Diceros bicornis minor: one gene and its partners. The protein of the gene in region 2 interacts with the protein of the main gene of each other region in a pairwise test. Links are inferred from orthologs where the notes say so. Each region holds a gene or a part of one and is shown on either strand. Other genes may lie near its edges.

Region 1 (7,542 bases), on a different chromosome or scaffold from region 2:
GCAGCCTCCCAAATGTTTCCTGCCCCATGACTTATAGACTGAAGCAGAATTTGATTTATTCCCTATCTCCTTCAGTCTCGGTGGCTAAGGGGTGATGGATGGAAGTGGAAAGAATGACCAAGAAGAGGCAAGGATGAGGCTCAGTCTTAAAATAAAAATCCTGAAGGACCTCAGCTTCAACCAGCTCAAGTTTGTTTTACAGCTGTTGATCACTGACTTCCAGCCAACTAGAAATAAAGTACAGTTTTGCAACCTCAGCTGATGGCAACAGGAGGGGCTTTCCAGAACTTGGACCTAGTTTGCACTCGTTTCCAACATCACAGCTGCCAAAATCACCAAAGGAGATTTCAGAACAGCTCCTCTACCCTCTCATTCCACTCAATGGGAGGCCCAGGCTTCACCCCACAGAGCAGTCCATCAGGCAGGCTTCATTTACGCTTCTTCTCCTGTGTGCTGGTGAACCAAGAGTCTAGGAGCTTCTTGCTGTAGTATAACTGCCAGGCATGCACTTGGACTGCCAGCACCAACACCAGGTACATGACAGAGACAGCGGAAAAACCAAAGAGGAAGCGGTAGGCCTTGCCATGGCGGTAGAGCTGCTGTGCAGCAGGGAACATCTCCATGCTGCCATAAATGAGGGGAGCGATGGAAAAGAGCCCCATGCTGATCATGGAGAGCACCAGGTAGCTAATGTTGTTACGGGGGAAGGAGAGGAGGCCCAAGACAGAGGGCACAATGCTCAGCAAATACGGGTACTCCCACTGATAGGGCATGGCCACCTGATCATGTGACAAGAGCCTCAGGTGTCCCACGCTCATCTTGGCAACCAGCAGCAGCCATATGACCAGATGCACGTAGATCAGCTTCTTGATTTCATACTTGAGGGTCACACTGTGGGGCAGAGCAGAGGGAGAAGTACCTTTCATTCAAAATTTTCTGACCACCAAGTATATGCCAGGCAACTATACTGGACAATGGGATACAAACGTGAATATGATATAGTCCCTGCCCGGAGGCTGGGCACAAGGAACAGAGGAAGAAAATATAATTAGAAAACGAATTGGAAAAGCTCTAGTAATTATATGTTGCAAAATAGATGGATCACAGGAAGGAGTAATCAATTCTGCTTGGGATAGGATGTCTGAGACAGCTAACTAGAGAAAGGTGACATTTGAGCTGGGCTCTGAGAGGTGGATGGAGATGGGCATTCTAAGCAGAGGTAATAGTATGCAGGCAAAAAGGCATAAGCATTTGTGTTCCAGGAAAGCAAGTGGTTGGGTGTGGCAGGAATACGCTGTAAGGGGAAGGGGAGTAGCTGGATATGAAACTGTAAAAACTATGAAAGAGTCAGTTTAAAGGCAGAAGAGTATTTCAGAGCTGTGTTTAGAAAGATGACTTTGCACCGTAGGGATACAGCCTGGAGGAAAGAGGCAGTGGCAGTCAGGAAATAAGCTCAGGCTGCCCATAATTCTCAAGCTACAGTCGATTTTTCATCTAAAGGCAGCACGTATTTCTCTTATTCTTCTAATTCTCTCAGGTCCTAAATGTATCCTCTTCACACTCGCAAGGGCAGAGGTTCTGCTCTGGACAGGCACAACAAGACTTGCTTGGGCTGTGAGGTCCTCTTAGGCAAGGGTCTAAGGATAAAAATGAAGTGAGGGTCCAAAGAGCTTGTCATTTTTTTAAACTCTGGAGAGAAAGATGTGAAAAACACTGACAGCGTTCAATGGATTTAAGGAAAGAAAATCTCGTTTTAAAATTTTTATTTCAGGGGCCAGCCTGGTGGCATAGTGGTTAAGTTCCCACACTCTGCTTCAGTGGCCCAGGGCAGCCCCGGGGCTCACAGGTTGGGATCCTGGGCACTGACCTACGCACCGCTTATCTAGCCATGCTGTGGCAGTGTCCCACATATAAAGCAGAGGAAGATGGGCACCAACCTTAGCCCTGGGCCAATCTTCCTCAGCAAAAAGAGGAGATTCGCAACAGATGTTAGCTCAGGGCTAATCTTCCTCACCGAAAAAAATTTCTTTTATTTTAAAAATATCCATTATAGAAAGTGTGGAAAGGTAGGTAGGGGTAAAATTAGTCACCTCTAGACTTCAAGCTCCATGAAGGCAGGGACCAGTTTTATTTGTTTGTTAATAAACTTGTTTATTGACGGTATAACATGCATACAAAGACCAGGTCTGCTTTTGCTCAATTATATCCTCAGTGCCTAGCACAATGCATGATGGGTAGAAGCTCAACAAATATTTGTCAAACAAATAAATGAATGTAGAAATACCCCTTACGTGGGGTGTTCATAAAATTCACTTTAGGCAGGGAAAGGCTGGACTTTAGGGTCCACATCCCCCTAAACGGCCCAAAATATAACAGCTACCACGTATTGGGCAGACTCTTATTATGTGCTAGATCTTATGCTACGTCCGTTACACGAACTGTTAGCTCACTAACTCTTCACCCAAACCCAAAAGGTAGATTACGTCTCCCTTCGCAGATGAGGAAACCGGGGCTCAATTAGAAATGAGGCTCCCGAGGTCCAGCATCGCCGTCACTCCGGCGGGGCTGGACCCCCTCGAGACACAGGGCGGATCCGAGTGGAGCGCACGGCGGCGACGGGGCTTCCCGGGAATGGGGACAGGCCCCGGGCCGCCACGGGAGGAGGGGGCTTGGCAGGTGCGCGGGGCCGGCTGGGAGTAAGACCGTGAGGCCGGGCCGGCGTCGCTCCCCAGGCCCTGCAGGCTCCGGCCGCGGCGGCCGGCGTGCTCCTCGCCTCAATTCATACCTCATCTGGTAGTGCATGGCGACACGCTCCCGGTGCTGAAAGTCGCTGCCGTCGGTGCCGGCCGCTCGCGGGCCTGCCCGAGACGCCATTGTACCCGCCCAGAACCCCGGAGCCCCTCAGGCCGACGCGCTGCCGGGACTACCGCGCCAAACCGCCTGCAGAACCCGGTCGCACCGCCTCAGTTCCTCCAACCTAACAAAAGCCCGATTCTCGGAGAAAAGCTTCCGGCCTCTCTGTCTCGGGAGGACCGACTCTGTGGTCACTCCCTCTCCGCGCCCCCCGCCGCGCACGCGCACACGTACACGCACGCGCGCGCTCTCGCTCTCTCGGGCACACCGCGTCCTGCCTCTCCGCGTTCCGAACGTGCAAGAAGTTAATCCTCGTTGCTGGCGTGTTTTTGCCGTCTGCACCGGGGCAGGTTCTCCAGCGTCTCTAGCAGTTTCACTTTCTTAAACTCCGATACGAGTTTAAGATGCCGCTGTCCCCAGTTCACAGATGGGGAAGCTGAAGCTTGGAAGGGTTCTGTGACTTCTCAAGAGCGCTTATCGTTCACACAGTCTCAGAGTTTGTCTCCATGAATTACTTAATCATTGCAAAGAGAAAACGGGAACTTTACAGTGGAGAAATCGGGTACGCACCCCCTTAACAAGGTGATCCATGTTAACTTGACCACTAACGAGACAAACTGACACTTCGTGCGTCTGGATACGCTGAGGACACAGCATCACTTATGTGATACTCCTGCCAAAGATACTTAACCTGAATCTAATCATGAGGAGATGACAGACAAACTCAACTTGAGGGACATTCTACAAGAAAGGTGGAATGTACTTTTCAAAAATTTCAACAAAACTTTTAAAAACCATGTTCTGAGTATCCACTATGCACTAGGATACCATGCTATGATCCGAGGGCACAGAAATGAGACAGACAGATGGGGTCCCTGTCCCCTGAGGGATCACAACCCAGAGGGGGGAAGAACCTACACCCGTGAAGCTATGAAATAGGGTGCTCCTTGGCATGAGGCTGAGGGAGCAGATAGGAGGCACCTCCTCCCACTTCAAGGATTAGGAAAGTCTTTCTAGAGTGAAGACCATTGAGGCCTGGGTAGGAATTAGCTGGAGTCGAGGGGTGGAAAGGGGTTTTCACTTCAGATGTAAACGCCCAGAATCCAGAGGGAGCTTGGCTGTTAGAACTGAAAAACTTCACAGTGATTGGAGCATTTGAAGGCCGAAGTAAAGAGTTAGGACTTTATCCCATTGTTGGGGAGTCATTAAAAGGTTTAACCAGCAGAGTGACAGGTTTGTGTTTTTAAAACTAGAGCAAAAGGTCTATTTGCTATATGGAGAATGGGTTGGAGGGGACCAGGGTGAAGCAGGGGAATTGTGTGAAGGCCACTGCAGTAATCCAAGCAGGCACGAGGGTGGCTTGGGCTAGGGAGATGGCAGTGGAGAGAGAGGAACAGATGTGAGCTACTTGGGATTTAACACCTGGAGCTGGGCAATAAGAGCACATGCAAATAAGGACATATACACAAAAGAGAGTCTCTATGTCTAGGATCTGGGAAAGGCAAGCAAGAAATCAGCAACATTTATTGAGCACCTACTATATGCTAGGCGTGTTCACACACATGAACTCATTCTCTTCTCCCAATACCCTTGTGAGTAATTACTATTGTTTTTCTGTTACAGAAGGGGAAATTGAGGCTCAGAGAGAGGAAGTGACTTGCCCAAAGTCACACAGCAGCAGGACTATGATAAGATCTCTGACCAAGGTGATCCTAGGGCCCGGGATTTTTTACTGCCCCTGGTTGAGGAATAACTAAGAGGGTTCAGGACCTACTGAGGGAAAATCAACTTTCTAGGGTATGGGCCAGGAATATCTGTCTCCTCCCCCTATACTCTCTAGAATGTCTTTCCTTGCGCTAGGGAAATCCTGCTGACCCTTTAGAATCCCTCTCATTACTCCAACAAGAATCACCTGCTCCACATCAGCCCCCATTGTTCTTGCTCAGTGGGTTCAGTGTTTGTTAAGCCTGGTCTAGGACCATCTCTGATAGAATCACCCAGGATTCTTATGAAAAACATAGATTTCTGGGCCCTACCCTTACCCAAATGAATTATTCCTCAGGGTTGGGCCTGAGAATGTCTATTTTTAATCTGAAGTGTTGACTACGTAATGCATTTATGTGGTTTAGAAATCAAACACTATAATAAATAATAAATTTATGCACAATAATTACATGAAAAGATGTTCAGCACCATTAGTTATTAGGTAAATGCATTCCAAAAATTTCTGAGATGCCACTTCACACCCACTAGGATGGCTAAAATTAAAAAAGACAGACAATAACAAGTGTTGGTGAGGATGTGGAGAAATTGGAGCCCTCAAATATTCGTGGTAGGAATGTAGAATGGTAGAGCTACTTTGGAAAACAGTTTAGCACTACTTCAAAAAATTAAACGTAGAGTGAATCTATGACCCAGCAATTCCATTCCTAAGTATACACCCAAGTGAAGTAAAAACATACATCGACACAAAAATTTGTACATAAACGATCAAGACAGCATTACTTATAATAGTCAAAAAGTGGAAACAACCCATATGTTCATCATCTGATGAATGGATAAAAAATTTGGTATGTCCATGAATGGAATATATTTGGCAATTAAAAAGGATACATGCTATCACATGGATGAACCTTGAAAACATTATGTTAAGTGAAAAGCTAGTCACAAAAAACCCCATGTTGCCGGATTCCATTTATATGAAATGTCCAGAATAGGCAAATCCATAGAGACAGAAAGTAGAGTAGTGGTTGCCAGGGGGAAGTAGAGAGTAACTGCAGTAGGTATGGGTGATAAAAATGTTCTGGAATTAGATAGTAGGGATCATTACACAACTTTGTGAATATACTAAAAACCATTGACTTGTACACTTTAAAATGTTGAATTTTAGGTATGGGAATTATATCTGAACAAAGCTATTATTTAAAAATGCAAGTGGTCGTAAGGGAAGGGCAATGATGGAAAGGCATGATCATTTGGAGCTCAGGTTCATAACCACTGGTGTGCCATGGCCCTTGGCAGCCTGGGAAAGCCTACAGACCTCTTCTCAGAGTGATGTTTTTAAATGCGTAAAATAAAATACATAAGATTACAATGAAAGAAAATAGTATCAAAATAAAGTTATCCAAATTTTTAAAAATATATGCAGTGAAAAATCCGACCCTCAACTCTGCTCCCCATGCTCCCAGATCTCAACCCTCCACCCCACACCACCCAACCAGGGAAATGCTTTTTTTCAGTGTTATTGTATATATTTCCAGAGGCTCTTGAAGAACGTACAAGCAAATGTAAAGCTATGTTGTTATTTTACGTTTTTAAAAATACAGAGGGTTGTGTATTATACACAATTAAAGACTTTGTTTTTTGTGTGTGTGTGTGAAGAAGATCAGCCCTGAACTAACATCCATGCCAATCCTCCTCTTTTTGCTGAGGAAGACTGGCCCTGAGCTAACATCTGTGCCAATCTTCCTCCACTTTATGTGGGACACCACAACAGCATAGCCTGACAAGCGGTGCCTCAGTGCGCGCCCGGGATCTGAACACGGGCCACCAGCAGTGGAGTGCGCACACTTAACCGCTACGCCCCAGGGCTGGCCCCAGGGCCGGCGACAAGACTTTGCTTTTTGTTTTAACTTAATATATCTTGTCAATATTCAGAAATCAAGATCTGCGAGCTAGGTGTGTTCATTCCTGTTGGTATGTTGCTGATCCCAGGCCTTTATTGAAAGATTTTAAGCAAAAATATATATATATTCTCTAGTGAATCCAAGCAAAAAAGTAAAGTGAGAATTCTCCTATTCCAAGATAACTAATGATGTGGTTGTGAATGTCCTGAATCGTTATCCTTATATATAACTTACTTAAATGGGGTTATGCCGTATGTAGCCTGAACTTTTATTCTATGACATGCCATGGGTCTCTTTCCATGTTAATCAGTATCGCATAAAAGTTAGTAAATGCACGTTATGGAGCATGTACTCTGCCAGGTAACTTATAGCATTTCTTGTAATCAGACCCTTGAGCTAGTTGCTACTGTTCCCATTTTCTACAGGCAGAGGCCAACTTTATTCACTGGGATTTAAACCCAGACTGTCATCTCATACACTTTAGCATTTAATCCTTGTGAGGACTCTAAGTCTGTACTTGCCTTAACTTTTTAGATGATGAAACTACTTCAGAGAAAGGTGATAACTTGCTTAAATTCGGAATAATGAAGAAGGGGAGCTATACTTCAAACCTATGTCTGTTTAGCTCTAGAGTTGCACTATCCAGTGCAGTAGCTACTAGTTCTATGTGGCTACTGAACTCTTAAAATGTGTCTAGTTGAAACTGAGATGTGCTTAAGTCTAAAATACATGTAGGACTTTGAAGACTTAATATAAAAAAAGGTAAAATCTTATCAATTTTTACCTCGATAATATGTTATCATATTTTAGATTGAATTAAATATATTACAAATAATTTCACCTGTTTTTATTTTAATGTGGCTATTAGAAAATTTAAAATTACATCTTTGTGATAAAGAGCATCTATGAAAAACTCACAGCTAACATCATCCTTAATGGTGAAATTCTGCAAGTTTTCCCCCTGAGATCAGGGATAGATAAGGATATCTGCTCTTGCCACTTCTATTCAACATCGTATTGGAGGTTCTAGTCAGGGTGAACAGGTAAGACAATAAAATAAAAG
Region 2 (7,040 bases):
AGAAGCTAAGGTTCAGAGAGGTGAAGTCACTTGCCAAGGGCACACAGCAATGGCACTACCTTTGTCTGATTCCATATCTCACGCTTTTAACCGCTCACCACATCACCCACCAAACAGGTTCTTTCCCAGGCCTAATAACAAGCCACCATCTAATAGCCAAAATAATAACTGTCAATTAACAAGGATTACCACCTTAAGTCCTCAAGGTAACATAAGAAGCAATTATTATCTTCATTTCTGGGAGGAAAACTGAGGCTCAGAGAGCGTAAGCCATTGTGGCAAGGTTGCAGCTAGGAAGTGATGGAGGCAAAATTCAAACCCACAAATGTCTGACTCCAGGCCCACAGCCTTATCATCACTCTATACTGCCCAGTAGTTAAGAGACATGGATTCTGTCCATTCATTCACTCATTCATTCAGCTCATTTTTGTGTGTGCGCATGAGGAAGATCAGCCCTGAGCTAACATCCATGCCAATCCTCCTCTTTTTTTTGCTGAGGAAGACTGGTCCCGGGCTAGCATTGGTACCCATTCTCCTCCACTCTATATGGGATGCTGCCACAGCACGGCCTGACAAGTGGCGCTGGGTGCGCGCCCGGGATCCGAACCCGGTGCCCAGCAGCGGAGCGCCCGCACTTAACCCCCACGCAACGGGGCCGTCCCCCTCAGCTCATTTTTTGTGTGTCCGCACTGGACTAGGCATGTTCTAGCCCCAAAACAGTCTCCTGCTGCATATAGCTCACCTTGCAGTGAGGGTGACAGACAGTACACAAATACAGAGTGTCACATGGTGAGACGGGCCATGAGGACCACTAAAAAAACAGTTAAGTGGATACTAAGATGGAGGCCTAGTGTAGACACCGCGGCAGGGGAAGGTCTCTCTGAGGAAGTGACAGCTGAATAAATGATGGCTGGATGAACAAGAGGATGCAAAAGGATTCTTTTTCTGTATCTGGGCTAGCAGAGAGGCCGAGTGGGTGAGACATCTTTTGTCTCAAATCCCCCTTTTTGGGAGTCAATGTTAGATGTAATTCTCTTCCTCTCTCCAGCCAGAAAAGCTGAGAATATTTTTTCCCCACTCTCTCCTAAAAGGAATGAATGAAACGGTTTGGGAAAGAATCTTTCGGGGACCTGTTAATACATTGTGACTAGAGCCACAAAAGGGCGCGGGAGTGGTGAGGCAGCAAATCATTGTGACGGTGACGTGCAGCCTGGCACGGAACAGAGGGCAGAAAGGGCACGGCTTGGTGGCTGATAAGAAGGGAGGGATGGACAAGGAGTCCCTCAGTCCAACTCTCCCTTGCTTGGGCCCATTTCACCGAAATTTGAGGCCGCACAGAAGACCCCAGCGTAGACGTCGCCGTCACCCCTCCCTCCCAGCCATAATCTCTCCCGCAGTCACCCGTTCGGCCAACGCGCATGCGCCCGCCCCACCAGACTGGGAGCGCGCCCGGGCAGCCAGACGCATGCGCAGCCTCACTGTTGCAGGTAACCGACAAGACCGGCGCGCGCCTTCTGCCGGTGTGCGCCTGCGTCAGGGGAGGAACCCGGGGGGGCGGGGTTTGGGCGACACGCGAGCTCTCGGTCCCGCCCCGGCCCTCTTTGCTTTTTCTGGCGGGAACGGCGCACGCGCACCTGCTCTCCACGTAACTGCCGTTGTTTGTTCGTCGCTCTCGTTTGTGTCCCGAGACTGGGACGTGGCCTCAGGTGAGCCCTGGCCCTGGCTGCAGCGAGGTTCCCCAGAGAAGCTCTGTCAGAGCCCCGCCCGCAGTCCTGGCAAAGCCCCCAAGTCGTAGAGGAGAGTCCCCGATATCAGGGCCTTCCAAATCTAGCTAAAATTCTTCTTGAAATCCCGACCAAATACCCTCAGAAATACTGAAAGGAACCCATCAGGAAATCTTATAGATGACCCTGGAAATCTTCTCAGAATCTTCTAGAAGTTCTGTCAGACTTCTCCCTCAGAGCCTGTCAGAGACCCCCCTAAAATCCTATTAGACTCCCTCCCCAAATCCTATCAGAGACCCCAAAAGTTCTGTCAGAGAGCCCCAGAAATCTTCTCAAACCCACCAAAAATCCTGTCGGATTCCCCTCCCAAAAACCTATCAGAGACCTCGCAAATCCGGTTGGAGACACCCCCAGAAATCCAGAGGCCCCTCCCCCTAGAAATCCAGTCAGAGATCTGCCCAGGAATCCAGAGACGCCCCCCCCTAGAAATCCAGTCAGAGGTCTGCCCAGGAATCCAGAGACACCCCAGGAATCCAGTCAGAGATGCCCCAGAAATCCAGAGACCCCCCTAGAAATCCAGTCAGAGACCCCCCAGAGACCCCTCTAGAAACCCAGTCAGAGATCCCCAGAAATCCAGAGACCCCCTAGAAACCCAGTCAGAGATCCCCAGAGATCCCCCCCAGAAACCCAGTCAGAGATCCCCCAGGAATCCAGAGACTCCGCTAGAGACCCAGTCAGAGATCCCCCAGGAATCCAGAGACCCCCCCCAGAGACCCAGTCAGAGATCCCCGAGGAATCCAGAGACCCCCCCCAGAGACCCAGTCAGAGATCCCCCAGGAATCCAGAGACCCCCCCCAGAGACCCAGTCAGAGATCCCCGAGGAATCCAGAGACCCCCCCCCCAGAAACCCAGTCAGAGATCCCCAGAAATCCAGAGACCCCCCTAGAAACCCAGAGATCCCCAGGAATCCAGAGACACCCCTAGAAACCCAGTCAGAGATCCCCCAGGAATCCAGAGACCCCCCCCAGAAACCCAGTCAGAGATCCCCAGAAATCCAGAGATCTCCCTAGAAACCCAGTCAGAGATCCCTAGGAATCCAGAGACCCCCCCCATAGACCCAGGCAGAAATCCCCCAGGAATCCAGACACCCCCCCCTAGAAACCCAGAGATCCCCCAGGAATCCAGAGACCCCCCTAGAAACCCAGTCAGAGACAGCCCTCACCCCCAGAAACCCAGCTGGAGGCTCCCCGCAGAATCCCTGCCTAGGTCCTCCTGCTCAAGTCTCCCCGTCAGAGACCCCCAAGATCACCCAACAGCCCCTGCTCCCCCGCCAGGAGTCTGTCCCCGAACCCTGTCAGAAGCCCCCAGTGCAGGTCGGCAGCCTTGCAGGGCCCCTTCCCCACTGAGGCCCCACGGCCATCGCCCCCCTTATGCACTTTCTGGGCTCGTCCAAACCCTGGAAGGGTCTCTTTTCAAAGACCCCTTTTTCTAGGACGTTCTAAAAGCCACCAAGAAGTGCGCGCTCCACGGCCGTGGACCCCGTCTGGCGCCAGGGAGAGCAGGGAGTGGGGAGTGCTTGGTGAGGAAAGGGGGCTGAGCAGGTGGGGGGAGGACACACAGGTCCCGGGTGACCCTCTGTGACCATTTGCCCCAGTGTGCCCAGTTCAGCTTCGAGGGGCACCACTGTCCAGTGTGATTGTTAATAGCGCCCCTTTCACTCTTGCAAGTGTCCTGGAGGTGGGACGGCAAGTCGTGTGGTCAAGCTGATTATCACGGAGGCAGGACAGGGCGTTGTCAGGGCACAGAGGAGAGGGGCCCTAACTGCTCCAGGGACTCGGGGAAGGCTCCCAGGAGAGCTGTCACCAGGGCGGGGACCACTGGTGAGGATGGTGCGTGCGTGGCCTGGGCGGACCGTGGGAAGATGCTAAGCTCCCATGGCCGTGATGGGGGTGAGCAACCTGGAGATCGGCCAGTGGAGGGAAGAGTGACAAAAAGAGGCAAGGAGTTGCAGGAACCACTGTGTACCACGCCAGCCTGAGGGACTGGGACTTAGTCCTGGGGGCACTCGGGAGCCATGGGTGGGCTGGGAGCAGGGAAGGAGCGGGATCAAACTCCAGTGAAAGGCCAGCAGCTCCAAATACAGGCTGACCTGGCAAGAATGTCAGTAGCCCAGGGCGGTGGGGGAGCCCAGGGACAGCACCTTGTTCAGAAACATTGTCCCAGCAGAGGGGACATGTGAGCCGAGACAGGAAGGGCTGGTGAGGAGGGTGTCCGAGGCAGAGACCCAGAGGGGGGAACAGCCTTTGGGGAACAGCATGCAGTTGAGTCGCTGGAGCAGCAAGTGTGATTTGGAGTGGAGAGACAGGTGGGGCCAGGCCGTGCAGGGCCTTCAATGCCAGATCCAGGGTCTAGGCTCTGTCCCCCGGGTGCTGGGGAGCCGTAGAAGAACACTGAGCAAAGGAGGGACAGGTCAGCTCTGGGGCCCTGTGGGGATGGACTGGAGGGGGAGGGATGGAGGCCTGACCCAGAGCTGTAGAGAGGGAGAGGAGGGGACAGGGTAGAGTCACCCTGCGGGAGCAGGGCTGAGGGCTTAACAAGCTGTGGGGAGGAGGGGAGGCAAGTGACCCCCGCCCAGTAGCCCCCCTTTGATCTCCGCCGCCCGCTCCTCGGGCCCCCATTTTCCCAGCCCACACCTCCAATCCATAAAACAGGTCTGAGCGGGCGCTGCTCTGGTCGAGGCAGGGTGGGCGAACAGGTTCTGAGAACCCAGAGTGGCCCGGGGCACAGGAGGGGCAGCACGGTCCCCATCCTCGGGTGGCTGGTCTGAGGAGGCCGTTCTCTGTTTGTCCTTGCAGGAGCTCTCGGGGCCGCCGGTGCTTTGTCAGTCTGTCCCAGTGATGGAGGGAGGCTCTTAGCGTCGCCAGCGGCTGCAGAGCAGAGGCAGTGGCCCATGGACCTGCCAGAGAGCCGGGCGGGCAGCCCCGCCGCTGCAGAAAGTAGGTGGCTGGGCCCCTGTCTGTCCCATGGGAGGATAAGGAGGAAGTAGTGGGTGAAGAGGGCACCAGGCTGTGACGCGGGGACTTTGGAGAGGTGGCTTGGGCTGGCTGAGCCTCCCCCTTGGTGCAGGGTGGGAGACAGAGAGCTATCGTTGATTAAGTGCCTGCTATGTGCCCTCCGGTCTGGACACCTTGTCGCATTTGCTCTAGGGAGGCCAGAGCAGCAGCCTTTGCAGGCGCTGTCCCCCTGCCCCGGGGACCTGCGGGCTTCCCCCTCACTTCCTTCAGATCTCTGCTTTCTGTAAAGCAGCTGCCTGTCACGCTGTCTCCCCTTTCCTGCTTCACTTCTCTTCGTAGCACCGACATCTGTTTGTCTGTCCGTCTAGTCTCTGTCTCCCCCACTGGAGCATGAGGTCCACAAGGCAGGGTCATTTTAGTCACTCTGGTATCCCCGTCCCTAGAGCAGCGTGTCCAACAGGCGAGCCATGTATGTCATTTTACATTTTGTTAGGAGCCACATTTAAAAGAAACAGGCAAAATGAGTGGCAATAATAGATTTTATTTAACTTAATATGTCCCAAATCATCTCCTTTCTGCTTATCATCAGTATAAAAATATGTTGGAGAGATTCTCTTTTTTTTCATACTAAGTCTTCATGATCTGGTGCGTACTTTACACGAACAGAGCATCTCAGTTCACACTCACCACAGATCAAGTGCTCAAGCAGCACCTGTGGCGAGGAGCTGCCCTCCCTGTTGGTTACGCTGCCCCAGAACGATGCCTGACACGGAATAGGAGCTCAGTTACTGTCCTTGAGTGATTGGAAGGACGCAGACCCTCTGGGTGTGACAGCCGGCTTCATGAGGAAGACGCTGGGTGGCGCTCTCTGAAATTCATCTAAGTGGGAGAGCCCCATGTGATGGGGGAGGAGGCTCCCACCCCAGGGCAGCAGCAGGGTCCCTTTCTTAGAGGCTCCCAGCATCCAGCAGCAGAGCCTGTGTCTTTCCTCAAGGCCTCAGGAGGCTTTCCAGGTGGGAAGGCGGAAGGTAGACACCTCGGTGAAGGAACCTGAGGGCAGGCTGATGGAGTAACCGACATCTAAACTTCGCCGCCACCAGCAGAGGGCGTGCGGCCACCGAGGAACCCGCGGGAAAGGGCTGAGCCAGCTTCGGGAGGCTCCTGAAGGAAAGGGAGGGACACACCCAGGAGAGATGGAGACAGAGGAAGGCAGGTGGGGAGAGAGCCAGAAAGGCAGCAGAGGAAAGAGAGAGAAGGTTCGGGGAATGGAGAGTCACTGAGATATGGGAAGAGAAGCACAGAGACGGAGACGCAGGGAAGAAAACGGGGCAAAGGACAGGGAGACCAAGAGGCGGGGCTTAGGGGAGAGAGAGATGGGAAGGAAGATGTATAGAAAGAGCCCGAGAGAAAAGTAGAAAAGGGCAGGGACAGAGACACACAGAGTGAGGTAGAGACACTGAGGAAGAAAGTACAGGAAAGAGAACAGGAGAGAAGCAGAGTGACATCCTCCTGAGGGCCCTGGGAAGGGACTGTAGACACGTGCGGATCCTCAGGGCCCCTGAGATGTGGAGCCAGACAGTGCTGGGTTGACTCCACCTGGCTCTCCTTGGCTGAGCGGCTCTGGGCGAGTGACCTTGCTGGACCTGTGACCTCACTGGGCCTCAGGGTCCTCCTCCGTAACGTGGGGAGCACAGTGAGAGGAGGAAACGAGAGTGCCCGTAAAGCTCCGGGCATGGGCCCTGGTGTCTCCCCTGATGTGGGTTCCTGCTCCCCTTCCCTAGGAACGTGGGCTCAAACCCAAGGGGACTGAATGTTAGCTCACTACGAAGAACCGTTGAAGAGTTAGAGGGCTGAGAAAGGGCACTCGTGTGGAACAGGTGACCCTGGGCAAGTTCCTAACTTCTCTGTGCCTGGGTATCCTCATCTGTAAAGTGGGGCGAATAATAGCAGCCACCATGGTCCGTGCAAAACACTTAGAAGAGGCATGGCACCTATTAAATGCCGAATACGTGTTCCATTCTATTATTGAGCTTCCACCACGTACCAGTCTCTCTGCCCAGGCCTTTCCAGATTGTCTCTCATTTCTTCTCTTGGAAGGAGGTGAGACCAACCCCATTTTCCAGACGAAGAAACAGGCTCGGAGAGGCTGAGTCCCTTGCCTGGGTTGCTTCCCGGGTCTGCTAGACTCTGCAGCCCGTGCTCAGCCCGCTGCTATACCCAGCTGTCCAAAGGCAGGGCGGGGAGTCTCGAGGGTCACTTCCAACCCTGGGGAAGAGGCTGGGCTGTCTCAGTGGCTCCTAGA
Region 3 (7,693 bases), on a different chromosome or scaffold from region 2:
CAGCTCTTCCAGCCGGATGTAGTTCTTATCAGTCCGATTTCCATCAAATGACAGAACTTCTCCCTGGATCTCTGACAAGCTCCCAAGGATGCTCCAGACGGCCTTATGTGATGGGTGCTCCTCACCAACAAACAGCTTTCTCTTCTCGAGGGCCTCCTTCAAGTCAATGTAGGTGATCAGAGTTTGCACTTCAATCACGGCTCTTCTCCTGGCTTCCCGGATGCAGGGGTTTTTTTCAAGACTTACCTCATCCAACTGTCCAATCAAACCCTGCAATTCTGTTTTGGAGCTCAGGTACAATTCAGAAGGATTTTGTGCTTGAAGAAGCTCATTTTTAATTTCCCTCATTCTCTTGAGGACCTTTTCTATTTTTAAAATGGAATGATTCTGTCTCAGGTCAAATGCGTGAGTAGTGCCTGCTTCCTCCTCTAAATCCAAATATTTCAATAATTTGTTGATATCTTCTACTACCTCCCTTCGGTAGTTTCTGATTTCTGTACGCCCGCACACATCTAAAGCATCCAGATCAGCCATCAGCCCTGAGAGCACACAAGACAAGTGCCTGCAAGTGTCGTTACTGTTCACCCCCATCAGGAGTGCAATCAGAGTGCCTCTGGCCTTGTTCACTTCACACATCACAGAGTTAATTTTGGCAACGGAAGGATGCGCATCCTCGGAAAGCGGCAGGGAAGGCTGCTTTTTCACGCAGTCTTCGATAATCTCTTGCACTGCACAGATTTTGGTTAAAGTGTGATACCTTGCTTTCCGCAAGGAGACCTTCCCTCCAGTTTTAACATGTGTCAGCCTCAGAATGATATCTTGGATGCCTTCTTCAAATTCATCTGTCACACAGTTGCCTCCACTATAAAATGGCACAATCTTCTCTTCCACCAGGGACTGGGCTTCTTTAAAAATGTTCTGTATTTCAATCCGGTGTGGGTGGTTTGCATTCTGCTCCAACTCTTTGAGAAGACGCTCTGTCTCTTGTGCTGCCCTCTTCCTAGCTTGCTGAATGTCTCCTTTTCCTTCTGTATCTACAGAGTCTATTTCAAAAAGTTGTTTTGTTAGAAACCTCTCCAGTTTCTTGTAATTCTTGTCATCTGACAGGCCACTGAAGCCAATTACTTGCTGTTCTATACTTTTCACTTCCTTTTGGATTTCCTGAAGCCTACTAATAGAAGGATGTTGGTTGCCCATATCCATACTTCTGTTGTGTTCAGTTTCACAAGCACTGAAAGATGACAAGAATGATAACCGATTACATCACAAAGTCTCTGCAAAACGGTAACTGTATATTAATTCACTCTAAAATTCTCATTTTAAAAAGATATACCTAAGAAAAAGGGCTTGTTATTATTGTAATCCAAATGACAGTCATACTCAAGCAGTGATTAACCAACTCCCTCTCCTGAAAATAATATAAACACAGCAGCGATTAAGAACAGACAGGGGTTACTGCAGCGTCCAAAACGACCTGGTGCTCTGGGCCTGTGAATTTCAAGTTTCTTCAAGTGTACAAGACGGTAGCATGTGTCTTCATAAGTACAGCATGAAGTTGAACTATCACCTTGGAAAGAGCACAACTATCTTAGCTGCTGACACTGGAAGCTGTTTTTCTGGCACCAGCAGGGCACCTTTGTGGAATGTGAAACAGTAGCTCTTCTAACCTTCCAAACGATACAGTACCACCTAAGCACCCCACCTGGCCAAAGAGCTATGCCTAGTTTCCAGAAAAAGTAACTCAAAGCGAAACAAATACCAGTGGTTCCCAGACACCCCCCAAAGTCCCCCTTTCTACATTCTTCTCCATCCCTTTATGCACTTCTACAAAGCTACCCTGTTTCTCATCTCACCCTTTTAGTACCTCACAAATCTTCTCTACAGAGGTATGGAATTCCACAGGAAACGCGACTGGGATTACATTAAAGGCACCATCTTGGGCTTTGGAGGCCCGAGTACCTCCCCATGCCTATCATGCTCCCCTCCTCCCCCAATACATCCCACAAAAATGTGACAACTATGAATAATTCATTCACTAGCCTCCCATTAAGAGTCCAGAATGACTTAACGCATTTTTTCCCTGCTCTTGGGTTTCTACCAAACAGCTCACTGGAAGGGGCTGGATAATCAATTGAAACCAATCCCTTGTGGGTGTTCGAGCCAAGAACGTGCCTTTGGAGGACAGGTTGCCTCCCTCCTCCCCTCCCCTCCTCACCCTTCCCTCCCAGCACTTTACCCGGAAGAGGTCTGAGCTGATTTGGTCTTGGCTTCCCGTAGGTGAGGTGGCGAGATGGAAGATCAGCCCTTTACGGGGTGCAGCACCGGAGATGGGCCCCAAGCAGCATCGCTCTCACCCCTCCCGGCTAGATCTGAACGGGGCAGCCGGTGAAGGGGCCGGCGGTGGCGGCGGCAGCTACCGGCCGCTGCGGCCGCTCTGGGCGTCTCGCCCGGGCCCCCACTACGCGCCCGCCGGCCTGACCTCACAATGGCCCGCGGGGAAGGGGGCGGCTGGCCCGGAGGGAGGGGAGCCCGGCCCGTAGGGAAGGGAGCCCGGCCCCGCCGGCCGGCGGCCCCATCGGACCCAGGGCGTGGGGGCGGCGCCGACGCCCGTCCGGGCAGAGCCGGGTGAGGCGCCAGAGCACAGGTCGCCCGCGGATGCCCGCGCCGAGGGGAGGCCGCCCCCGCGGAGGGAGGGGGCCCGCGCAGCCGCTGCGCCGCGCTCACCTGTGCCGCCCGCGCCATCGCGCGCTCCGCCGCCGACACCCCGCGACTCCGCAGCTCCCGCCGTCGCCCGAGCCCGGCAGCCCCGCCCCCGGGCCGAACGCCCTCCGCCCTTGGAAAGCGTCCTCTGGCGTCCGCGCCGCACCTCGACCCGCGCCGAGCCCGCCGCTAGCCGCCTTGCGCGGCAGTCTGTAATGGCCGCGACAGTGGACCAGCCGCCGGGTCCCCGTCCGCGCCGCCCCGCTGCCCCCGCAGCCCGTTACACGCAGGGAAAGAGCACTGTCGGCCGCGCCGCTCCCCACTCTTTCTCTTTCTCTCTCTCACACACTCTGGCTTTGCGACCATGCCGTAAGGCAGCCCTTCGCGCCGTCGCGACTCTGCCGTGCGTCGCGGGAGCCGGGAGGCGTGGGCCATGGCTGCTTTGAGGCCGGGGTGGAGGACAGCTCTCTCTCCTTTCTGCCGCGCCTTCACTGGCCCCCGCTATCAGCTCGCCCCCGAGCGCGGCGCTGAGCGCAGGGATGCGGCACCGAGCCGGGTAAGCGGGGTTTCCGGAGAGGTTGGGCCGAGAGGGGTGACCGCAAGGGGCGGTAGACCCGGGCCGCGCCCCTCAGGGGCACCTGCGTGCCCCGCTGCGGCGTCAGCCGAGTTCCCCGGGAGCAGCGTCCCCGAGCCGGCCTGGGCCTGGCGCAGAGCTGCGCACGCGCCCTGGGGGCACAGGGGCCTGAGGAGGGGACAGGGGTATGGAGAGTGGGGAGGCCCCGGGGCCACCAAGTTTCCTACGTCTGCCCCCTTGGTCTGATGGAACTGAGGGGGCTGTTGACAGAACTTTTGCTAGTAGAGCAGAGTCATCTAGTAAGTTTGTACGTACCTTATATCTTCTCGAGGATCCTTCTTATATTTGAAGAGCTCTTGAGGTGCACAGCGTGTATTTATTTTTTGGCTTCGTTGAGATTATTAGTGCTTTTTTTTCAAGCGATGTCTAACTTTATCATTGTATCTTGTAGGACTTCACGTTGAAGGGTTTTTCTTGTTTGGAAACTGTGTGCATATACGCACGTTACTGGCCGAAGATCCACAAAGATTAATGTCTGTAGCAGCAAAGAATGGCAAGCAGCTCTTATAAATTGCGTTTCTGTGGGGAAGGATGCTTTGTTTAAGGGAGTCCTAGGCCTGGATTCCAACTGACAGGAAAATGTTGACTAGCAGTGTGGAACGGGTTGCAGATAAAATATTTAAACAAAGCATACAAATACTAACACTTCACTTTGTCAACAGGCTAACGAGGGAGGCTGGAAAACCTGGTTTAAAGAGTAATTAAAGAAGGATGAAAAAGAGCCAGTTAAGAATTTCAAAATGTGCCTGCCTGTAAATTTTCATTTCTTTTAGTCTGTTGCTATTATGTTTTTATAAATGCGGCTTTGAAGTTCTGTCTAGTTTACAGTTTAGACAGGAAGTTACCAAGACAACTGGTCACTCAGGTCTCTGGCTCAGTTCCCTGTTACAGTGGCCAAAGTCCTGTCTTCTGTTCCTAGAGCATAGAAATCCACGCACATCTCAGTCTTTGGGCAGGAGGATACTCAACAGGTATCTGAAGATGCTCTGGGAGGCAAACTGAACATCAGCCAACTGTCTCCAGAGTAAGGACTTAACCTAGCTTATTTTGTTAAAAGTAAAGAACAGCACCCAAAAAAAAGAACAGCACCCAAACAAGGCTTTCTCTGTTGTCATACAGCCTTTCGTTAAAGTAAATCTTACCGTGGGTCTGATCCTCAAGATGAGACCTCTCTGCCTTTTGTGGTCCAAGTCACGAGGAAGCCAGTGCTGCGCACCTGTTGGACTGCCTAGACCTGTGAAGGTGATGAGTGTGATGAGGCTGAAGAGTGGAGCAGCTGATCCATGAATCACACCTTGCCCAATTCTAGCATCGTGACTTGTGTTGTTTTTTAGGATGTGTGCCCCATTATGCTAGATATCGTATGGAACATAAAAGAACAGTTCCTGCCTCAGGGCGGTTTGCGTTTCCTGGGTTTGGTCCCAACCTTGTGTGCTTCCTGGGTACAGGGCTGGTTCTCCAGGTAATTAAATTCCTGCAGCACAGAGAGATTGTTGTCTTCAGACTTCGGTTTTGAATATTAGGTCTTCTTAAAAGTAGCAGGTCGTAAACCTTTTGCTTTGTTTATCTAAATAGATATATTTTAATCCACTATGTCTAGTTCACTCTACATATTTTTCATTAATTCTTTGTCCTTTACTTTCTGACCTTTTAGGACCTACGCAATTTACGCCCATCTCTAATCTCTGGGTACCAGTTTTTAATAGAAAAATATTATAGAACTTAGATTTAGGCACTGCTTTTCCTTCTAAACTCAACTTAAAAATTCAGCTCTTAAATGTTCTCCAGCTATTTCATACCTGCTTATTCCTTATCTGTGTAGTTTACATCATTGGTTCTTGAACTTGTCTGCACATTTGGAATCATTTGGAATACTTGAAAGAATACTGGGGCCCACCCGCAGAAGTTCCGATGTGATTGGTCTGGGATGTGGCTTGGGCATCAGGATATTTATTCATTTATTTTCTTGGTTTGTCTAGTTCCTTGGCCCCAGGTTTAGTGAGGTGTAACATCAGGATTTTAAGGGCAAGTCTAATAAGCTCACAAGTTGGAGAACCAGTGGTTATATTATGTGCATTAACATTTGCTTGTAGTCCTGAATTACATTAACATTTATAGTAATAGTTAACATTTATTGAGCACTTGCATGCGCTGTTCTAAGAGTTTTACATATTTTCACTTATTTAATCCTCACAATTCTGTGAAGTAGGTGCTTTTATCATCCCCATATTACAAATGAGGAAACTTAGGCACAGTAAGATTGAACAATTTCCTCAAGGTTGTAATGCTTGCACATAAGGAATATACATGTTATGGTTACTCTATCCAGAGGATGATAAATAACAATTTTTCTTCTATTAATTTTTGGATCAAAAAGAACACAGAAACAGGCCCTCAGCAGGGAGAGGTAATATTTACAAGTAACAAATAATGGAACTACTGGTGTCATCTTTTGCTTACATTTTCATTAAGTAGAATGATCTTCAAACCCCCAAGTGTAGATTCAGAATAAACATCATAAGGAGGAAGTTGAAACTCAAGATAAATGAGAAACTGGTGAGAGGTCTAGTCATAGGATTTTAAAGTTAATTTGGATATTTCTAGTATTTACAAGGCTTTCCATAAATAGTTGGAAAAAATTAAAAGCTGGGGCGGGAGGACTTTAAAAACCATGTGGTTTAACTCCATTATCAGAAAGATGAGGAAACTGGAACCCAGAGAGGTAAAGAGACTTGTCTGATGTTACATGGCAGAGTAAGGATTAAAACTGAGTTCTTTCCATTCTCAGTCCAGTGTTCTAACGTTTCCAAATGCTTTTTCTGGGCCGGCCCAGTGGCGTAGTGGTTAAGTGTGCACGCTCCACTGTTGCTGCCCGGGGTTCGCAGGTTCGGATCCCAGGCGCGCACTGATGCATCGCTTGTCAAGCCATGCTGTGGCGGCATCCCATATAAGGTAGAGGAAGATGGGCACGGATGTTATCCCAGGGCCAATCTTCCTCAACAAAAAGAGGAGGCTTGGCAACAGATGTTAGCTCAGGGCTGGTCTTCCTCACACACACACACACACACACAAAAAAAATGCTTTTTCTTCATCTAGTGAAATGAGAATTACAATAATTTATTGATTTTCTTTTTTTGTTACTTATGGGAAATTTAAAACATGTACAAAGATAGAAGAATATAAAGAATTGCTATGCATCCAATACCCTGCTTCTACAGTTATCCACTTCTGGCTGTTTATTTCAACTTTACCCCCATCCAGTCCGTCTTCCCAGATAATTTTTTGGCAAATATCAGACTTCGTATTTCTTTTTTTTTTTTTTTTTTATAAGGAAGATCAGCCCTGAGCTAACATCCATGCCAATCCTCCTCTTTTTGCTGAGGAAGACTGGCCCTGAGCTAACACCTATTGCCAATCCTCCTCCTTTTTTTTCTCTTTTTCTCCCCAAAGCCCCAGTAGATAGTTGTATGTCATAGTTGCACGTCCTTCTAGTTGCTGTATGTGGGACGCTGCCTCAGCATGGCCAGACAAGCGGTGTATCGGTGTGCGAACCCAGGCCGCCAGTAGTGGAGCGTGCACACTTAACCACTAAGCCATGGGGCCGGCCCCCAGACATCATGTTTCATCTGTAAATATTTCATTATCCTTAAAAGATATGGACTTTAAAATATACATATATATATATAAACATAATACCAAGGTCACACCTAAAAATATTATGAAAATTCCTTAATTCCAGCAAAGGTCCAGTGTTCAAATTTCTTTGATTGTCTTAGAAACGTCGTGAATGTTTTCTTTTACAATTTGTTTGTGTCAGGATCCAGATAAGTTCTACACATTGCGATTGATGATTTTTTTTAATCTTTTTTTTTTCTTGCTGAGGAAGATTCGCCCTGAGCTAATACCTGTTGTCAATCTTCCTCTTTTTTTGCTTGAGGGAGATTGGCCCTGAGCTAACATCTGTGCCAGTCTTCCTCTATTTTGTATGTAGGTCACCGCCATAGCATGGCTGGTGAGTGGTGTAGGCCCATGCCCAGGATCCGAACCCGTGAACCCCAGGCTGCCGAAGTGAAGCACGTGGAACTTAACCACTATGCCACAGGGTGGCCCCTGATTGATTTTTTTTTAGTTCTCTTTTAATCTATAGGTTTTGATTCCATCTTCTTTCTTTTTTTAAGTAATTTATTTGTTGGGGTTGGGGGAAGGATGTGTCCGTTAGAATTTTCCATGGTCTGGATTTTGCTGATTGCATTCCCGTGGTGTAATTTAACATGTTCCTCTGACCTGTGTGTTTCCTGTAAATTGACAGCTGCATTCTAGAGCTTTGACCACATTCAGATTTGACTTTTTTTTTAAGAG

The links. The genes of interacting proteins can lie anywhere in the genome.
Region 1: the proteins of KASH5 (region 2) and JAGN1 interact in binary tests that used the Homo sapiens proteins (3 or more experiments, as listed by UniProt). The two-hybrid records come from large-scale screens. The link is inferred for Diceros bicornis minor from reciprocal best matches to the Homo sapiens genes KASH5 and JAGN1.
Region 3: the proteins of KASH5 (region 2) and BAG5 interact in binary tests that used the Homo sapiens proteins (3 or more experiments, as listed by UniProt). The two-hybrid records come from large-scale screens. The link is inferred for Diceros bicornis minor from reciprocal best matches to the Homo sapiens genes KASH5 and BAG5.

Annotation. Positions count from the first base shown.
Region 1 is NC_080741.1:82,837,167-82,844,708, reverse strand, and holds the start of JAGN1 (protein jagunal homolog 1), read right to left. Parts: upstream 3,038-7,542; 5' UTR 2,875-3,037; coding exon 2,786-2,874; intron 892-2,785; coding exon 429-891; 3' UTR 1-428. UniProt on the Homo sapiens protein: Endoplasmic reticulum transmembrane protein involved in vesicle-mediated transport, which is required for neutrophil function.
Region 2 is NC_080773.1:24,834,494-24,841,533, forward strand, and holds the start of KASH5 (protein KASH5), read left to right. Parts: upstream 1-4,025; 5' UTR 4,026-4,039; coding exon 4,040-4,193; intron 4,194-4,579; coding exon 4,580-4,720; intron 4,721-5,330; exon of another isoform or gene 5,331-5,563; intron 5,564-7,040. UniProt on the Homo sapiens protein: As a component of the LINC (LInker of Nucleoskeleton and Cytoskeleton) complex, involved in the connection between the nuclear lamina and the cytoskeleton.
Region 3 is NC_080763.1:48,214,780-48,222,472, forward strand, and holds the start of BAG5 (BAG family molecular chaperone regulator 5), read right to left. Parts: upstream 3,038-7,693; 5' UTR 2,725-3,037; intron 2,699-2,724; exon of another isoform or gene 2,237-2,698; intron 1,409-2,236; exon of another isoform or gene 1,334-1,408; intron 1,232-1,333; 5' UTR 1,204-1,231; coding exon 1-1,203. Other genes in the region: cytochrome c oxidase assembly factor 8, read left to right, coding at 3,134-3,256. UniProt on the Homo sapiens protein: Co-chaperone for HSP/HSP70 proteins. It functions as a nucleotide-exchange factor promoting the release of ADP from HSP70, thereby activating HSP70-mediated protein refolding.